2 linked regions of the Drosophila melanogaster genome follow. The protein of the gene in region 1 interacts with the protein of each later gene in a pairwise test. Each region holds a gene or a part of one and is shown on either strand. Other genes may lie near its edges.

Region 1 (4,031 bases):
TACCATTTGGCAAAGCCATAAAAAAGTTGTTATAAAGACTTTTAATGTATTTACTGTATAACAACAACACAATCAAAAGCCACATATAAATAATTCAGTGGAGACATCAAAAAAAAAAAAAAAAGATGAATAAAAAATCAATTCGGGCTAGTTGAAGTCTATAGACTTTTGAAACCAAACATGGGAGTTGAATAAGTCTGGTTTTAAACTATGGAAAAATCCCCTTTTCGATAACCATCTTAAGTTCACGAAAAGAAGTTCATTATCATAAATGTATGTATGTTCTTTAGGGGAAACTCTTTGACGTCAGAAACTAGTTTGGCAAATTAAAAAAAAAAAAAAAAATATCGCGAAGCTAAAATTAACTCAGAAGGTTCTTTGAATTTCGCTGAAATTAACTTAAATCGATTAAGTTTGCCCTTTAGGTGGGCAGCTTCTTTCTCTACCTCTTTTCTGTGACGTCAATTCAAAATTTATACATGTAAGACAATCATTTGAATTTATTCGTTTTTAAGTTGGATTTATTTTAGAATATGAAATGATAAACATAAATCCATTTTTAATGATCCATTGTTGTTGCATGATAAACTATTACTGCTTTTAAGTTGTGGATGTTTTTTTTTTTAATTCTTGTACCATTTTGTTTAAACTTAATTCCATCCAGAAACATATCAGAGTTCAATAAACCTTGATGGTGAATGTGCATAATTATCGTAGGACTTCGGTTTTAGTCCACACCCAAACCACTAATCGTGTTTTTTATTTCAGCCTTTAATCGCCTTGTATTGACTTTTGAAGACAACATAGTTTATGAACACATATGTGTCTGGCCAGGGTATGCATAAAACATAGGTCTGTCTATATATATGTATCAATCACGACGATAGATTGTCTCGTTTATGGTTATCAGTCAGTTTTGGCAAAGATTTCGATTAGCATAGAGACAATCGTTTTGTCTGTCCGCATCTTTATGGCCAGCAGATCAAATAAATGAATAAAAACAAAGGCACAAAAAATACAAGAAAAAAAAAAAACAAAATATGGATCATAATTTATGGCGAACATGTTTGATGAACTCCCCAATTTGGGGCTTCGAAAGCCATCGCATTACTTGGCCCTCTTGTAGACATAGCCGCCATTGGATGCGTAAACCGTATCCGCCACACTCTTGGGATCGTCGGCCGATGGTGGTGCCACTACTGTCCTCTCACTGTCCTTTGGTTGCTCCTTCGCCGGCTCATCGGAGTAGCCCGGCGGAGCGGGTCCTCCGAAACCGGGTCCAAATTGTTGGTAGGGATTCTGGCCGGGCACAGGTCCGCCGAATCCTGCGGGCACATTGAATCCTGCTGGACTGGGTCCTTGGAAGGGACCCTGGGGATTTGTGAGGGGAAGTCCCTGGTTTGTCAAGAACTCCGGTGGATATGCGGATCCTGGGAAGGGCCCTCCCTGTGGCGGGAAGTTACCTCCTAGGAAACCATTGCCCGGTATTCCCTGTGGCCCGAAGGCACCTCCTTGTGATGGGAACACTCCCTGCTGTGGTGAGAAGGGAGCTCCTTGCGTTGGGAATCCATTGCCAGGGATGCCTTGTGGCTGGAAGCCAGCTCCTTGTGGGGGAAACCCACCTGCCTGCGGGAAACCACCTGGCTGGGCAAAATTACCAGCTTGCGGACCGAAAGGACCACCTGGTGGCAGTTGGAAGGCCGCATTCGTAGGACCCCCTGCGAATGCGCCTCCATTGGTAGGACCCGCCGGGAATGCACCTCCGTTGGGATAGGCCGAAGGCACTGGCCCAATACCATGTCCTCCTCCCTGCTCGACAGGACCTCCGCCGAAGCCGTAGAATGGTGGATAGATGGGCAGAGGGAAGTTTGGCGGCTGGACAGGCTGTGGCAAAACGTTGCTGCCCGTGGGAATGGCATAGCCCGGCGGCAGTGGCAGTCCAGTCGATGGATAGAATCCAGATGGATCCTTCTGCACCTCCTGGCCATCAGCAGCAGACCGTGTGGTTGGCTCCAGTTCCGCACTGGGCGGTATATATTCCCTGGGCAGGTGACTCACATCTCCGTTGATCAGGGGCAGAAGTAGGACCACAACGGCCCATGGCTGCATCATCTCGAGCTCCGGTTTGATCTCTGGGAACTTGCACGGCGACGGTGGCTATGCGGCCACGGGCCCCAAATCCGCCATATATAAGACGGCATATCAACATATTACATAAATTCGCGGCCGGCTCATTTCACTTTCGCATTCGGCGAACGGAAATTGCTTTGCATCATCACAAAGGTTCCATAAATAATCGCCAATCCAAAGGTGATCGAAGGTGCGAGGGGAGGTGCCAAAACTGAACTATAAAATTTAATTTAGCGGCCGGATTTTACATAAATAAACTAACGCCGAAATCGAATGTTAAATTCAGCATCGCACAAAGAAAAGAGGCGATAATGAAAAAGATTCAATAAACGAAAAGAAAGAACAATGAAAGGGTAACATTTTATTTGATTTAGATTCAAGTTCTTGCTCAGCTTTATGATGAATATTAAATTTTAAAAATTACTACCTGAAAGCAAAAGGGTGTTAATTAAAAACAGGAAAAACGTCGAGGAGGTTCGTTTTATTTACTGTAATATACTAAATAATGGTTTTGAATGATTTCAAAAAGTCTTGAGTAAATAATTTTTCAGAAATGCCAAGCACTCTCAGAAAATGTATCTGCAAGTCATAGTTTTGAAATACTCAAAAGCTTAGTGTTAAAACTAGGAAAACCATAAAGTTTCATGCTATATTTAAACTAAAAGCTCTTTGAAAATGCTTAAAATAGTCGCAGCTTCCAAGTTTAATCAAAGCTGCAAGCTGTTTATAAAAAGCCCAACTTAATTAAAGCTTTATATTATATTTTTTAACGCTAATACTTAGTTAAAACATTGATGTATGTTAAATGTTTATGTTCTTGTCCTACAGGTTTTAGTGTTAACTAGTCGAAGAATTAAGCTTTTTAATTTTGAAAATTACCATTATAGACTAATGCCAATAAATCTTCTTTACTTTGTATGGACATATCATTCGTATACTTTATTATATTTTTATTGGCTTATAAAGTGCCACCTTTTGTCTACTCTGAAGTATTAAGCACCAACAAGCACTTGCTTTTGACGTTCGATTTTGAAAACGAACCGCACTCAAACCGCATCAAAACCGCAACAAAACCGCACCTAAACCGCAACCAAACCGCACTCAAGTCGCGCGTGGTTTTTAGTACGCTATTTTGGTATCCTGGTCCGGAATTTTGATATAAAGTGAATAGGGATACACTTGTTAAAAATTTTATTAATATTAATATTAGACGCTTGTTTTTATAACTCTGAAACCCATTTTAAAAACAAAAGTATTTATTTGGATTATTGATGTTTCGGTTTATTTCGTTGTAAACAAAAGTTTACAAAACAAAAAAAAAAAATATATGGTTAATTTGGGCAGTATGTAGTTATGGACACTGTTTCGTGTTCAGTTGCAGGCCTCTTCGTTGAAGATCCCTACTTCCTGTAGACGTAGCCACCGTTGGAGGCGTACTGGGTGCCCACATCCACGGAGGGTGCAGAGTAGCTCACCGATGGGGCGGAGTAGCTGACGGCAGGAGCGGAGTACGACTGCTGGACAGCAGGGGCGGAGTAGCTGACCGATGGAGCGGAGTACGACTGCTGGACAGCAGGGGCGGAGTAGCTGACCGATGGAGCGGAGTACGACTGCTGGACAGCAGGAGCGGAGTAGCTGACCGATGGAGCCGAGTAGCTCACAGAGGGTGCCGAGTAGCTAACAGAGGGGGCGGAGTAGGTCCTCTGGACAGCTGGTGCGGAGTAGGTCCTCTGGACGGCCGGTGCGGAGTAGGTCTGCACAGGAGGCAGGTACTCGTTGCTGGGGGCGACATACGACTGCTGGATGGCTGGAGCGGCGTAGGTCTGCTGCACGGCTGGTGCGGAGTAGCTCACCGAGGGAGCGGCGTACGAGCTCTGGACGGGGGGCAGGTACTCGTTGCT
Region 2 (3,328 bases), on another chromosome or scaffold:
ACAAACAGCGGGCCATGACTTTCTTTTATAACAAATATATTCATTTCATACTCGTTCGGAGGCAACAAATCGCGTGACATGCTGACAGCGGTACTTGGCCCTCGTGTTGCTGTTGTTTCTGCTGAATTTGTTGAGTGGAGAGTGTAAAACTCAACTATTGTCTTCATTTTTCTTGCAAATCATGCAAGGCAATCTAAAATGTTGACACATTGGCAAACACATATGTGGTTGTATGTTCACGCCGACATGGGCAAATCGGCACATATTTATATATTGTAGTATAGGGGTGAGGAGTACAACGGCAGCCAGGAACATTGTACACAAAAGAGGGTAAGAGAAAAAAAAGAAAGAAAAAAAAAAAATATTTGGCGCCCTTTTTGCCCATGTCACTCAAGTTCAAGGTTTACACGCTGTCGGTTAAGGTTACGCTTTTATGTATTATCGCTGAATTGTCACAAGTCTGCGCTTTGTCTCGCAACGAGCGCTTTGAAAAATTACAATAATTGTTATTTACGCATATCTGAACATGAAATGTGTCAATTGGCAGCCAACGAGCTAGCAAAGCGAACGCAACGCAATGAAAGAACGCAACAACGTGGCGTATGCGTAATGTGTGAAAAGGGACACAAGGTCTGGCACTTTTGTCGGGCGGCAAATGAGTGGTATTGGGTGGTGTTCGGTCGGAATGGCAGTAGTGAGGGTATTTGCGACGAGCATCAGACAAATGCTGTCAAGCCTTCATAATTTGGTTCATAAAGCGATTTAGGTATAAGCTTCGAGAGGGTGTTGTGAGTCCCTGGTCAAGCCACAAAGCCACATTAAATGATTTTTCTCGGTTCGAGTAGGTTAAATAGGTTACATAATCCTAAAAATTCGTTTTAAAATTGCACCTTTCACATAAAACAGCAACATGAAAGTATCGTGTTCGTATTGATTGAGTTATACAATTTTCCCGGCTTTATTTCATATGACTTTTTGCAATCGTGTTTTGACTGCTCCTGAATTTTTTATAAACAAATTTTAATTGCCTCCAATTAAGATACTTAAAAACGAACACCTATCGCATTGAAAATAATGTGCTTGGTTTTTCATTTAAAGTTGGGAAAACATAGCTATAGAAAAAAAGTTCTGCATAATTTAATGTTAATAAATCTATTAGCAGTATCTTTATTTATATTAAAATAAATAACATTAGGGTATCCAATCTTCATTGCATCTGCTGTTTTGAGTTCCTATGATTCTATACCACATTGATTGGCTCGACTAATACGTCACATTTGTTAGAACCTTTTTTTTGTCTTCAGCTCTTGTACTGCTTTTTATTGGCCACCAATTTTTTGCGGGCGTTCTGAATGAAGGCATTAGCATTGGCTTCAATTAGCGAGCTTTAAATTTAAAAACAAACGCCAATGGTGTTGGCATTAAATTCAATCGAAGTACTCACTCTACATATAAATAGGAAACAGCGGCGGCTCTTTGACTGGCAGTTGTGTGGAAATCATTGACGCGGTTTGTCGATTGAATTAAATATAAATATCATATTTTCATCGTTAAATTAAATAATTAAATATGCCATTGCCATTGCAATTGCGATTGCTGTTGCTGCCTCTGGCGATGATTTTGCTGCTGGGCACGCACTTGAGTGGCGCGTCGGCTGTTGACAAGGATGTGGCACCAGTTGGCTATGTAAAAACGGATTTGCTGTCATTGGAGCAGGAAATTGGCGGCGCTGCGGATTCGCAGCGAAATCTGCTTCCGGTTCGTCGAAGGCGTGGCATCTTCTTCAGCGGCAGCATCGGCGGATTGCCGTTCCTCAACTGGGCCAGTGGCTATTCTTGGGCATATCCTGGCTATCCGTACAACTACTATGGCTCACCATCGCCTGGCTATTATGGTTATGGCAGTGGCTACTATCCCGGCTACCTGGGCTATCAGAAAATTATCATCGGTTAATGCAGATTTGTGAGAGAACGAAAAGACAGAGCGAAAAATCGATTAGAGAACCCCTTTTCAATGTGAGATTATAAATAATGGCCAGGAAGGAGCGGCGTCGACCCTTTCGCAGTTTGTTATTTTACTTATTGTTGGTGCTTTTAAATTAATTTGCCGGACACAGGGAAAAAGTTGAGCTAAGTTGAAGAGGTGGGGCGCGTATAAAAAAAAAATGAAGAACATGAAATTGCACAATTTATATTCATTTTGCACAGATTTTGCATAAATCATTTCGCAGCGACCAAAATGAAACGCGTAACATAATTTTTAACCCTTGATAATTTTTTATGACAAGCATTTTCGTTATTTTCCCTCCGTGGGACCACCTTATTTGTTGCTGCTGTTGTTGTTGTGGGGCCGCAGCGAAATGCAAATAAAGCGGATCAAAAGTTTGCTGTTAAAAGAAGATTAATTGCAATTTGGTGGCAAGACCTGAAACATTTCGAACCCCACAACAACCCATCGAAAATCCGCTGCCCAATCGGCGCGGTGGGCAATGGGCGGTTGGTAATTAAATATTTTTAAGCTGTAAATGGTTTCCATTTACGTGATGCTGTTCTTATTTTGTATTTGCAATCAATAAAATTCATTAAACGCACAACAATAACAACCAACCAAAGAAGGGAACCAGCCAAATCAAATAAAATACATTCCTCAACGGTCTTAGTTTCAATTGCCACTCCACCGGCAGTTGTAAATTGTTACTCTATTATAAGTGCTGTCCTGCAGTTGTTGCAGTTTCGCAAGTGGCTATTGTTTATTCATTCAGATTTATAATCATTTTATTGCCGAGGTATGCTCAATTTTTTAATCAATTTACATAATTTATGCCCTTTTTATGAACTTCACTCCCAATGGGATCAGATGAACGCATTCGGTTTGTGAATTGTTGAAGAGAGCGCAGCGGAAAATGTTTCAGTTTTGATAGTTGATCTGCTATAATATTGAATTATCGTTATACAAGCAGTTGTCACGTTGTAAATCATTAAAAATTAATTATCGATTCAACAGGACTGCTGTAACAGCAATGGTGATTTTTGCCTTAACAGTCTCACAAACTCAATGGAAATGCATTTTTATATTGCCTGCTAAATGTTAAAAATGATAGAAGTATTAATTAGTGGGCGAATTGAAATAATTGTATCCATATATAATTATATAAAACTAAATTGATTTATTTTTTTGGTCATACATGGACGGATATTTAAAATCTTCAACATACATTAAACCATGATTTCAATTTAGAGTTCTGCTTAATATTTCAAGAGTTTTAAAATTACTTTTAGTTCTATACGATAGGGAAACTTTGTTTTAGTTAATTAGTATTTGAAGGGAC

What was found.
Region 2: the proteins of CG11581 (region 1) and CG14369 interact in a two-hybrid assay, tested with the Drosophila melanogaster proteins (one large-scale study listed by BioGRID).

Annotation. Positions count from the first base shown.
Region 1 is NC_004354.4:14,175,028-14,179,058, reverse strand, and holds CG11581 (uncharacterized protein), read right to left. Parts: upstream 2,137-4,031; 5' UTR 2,113-2,136; coding exon 1,108-2,112; 3' UTR 603-1,107; downstream 1-602. Other genes in the region: CG1368 (uncharacterized protein), read right to left, coding at 3,531-4,031.
Region 2 is NT_033777.3:13,590,901-13,594,228, reverse strand, and holds CG14369 (uncharacterized protein), read left to right. Parts: upstream 1-1,571; 5' UTR 1,572-1,614; coding exon 1,615-1,953; 3' UTR 1,954-2,597; downstream 2,598-3,328.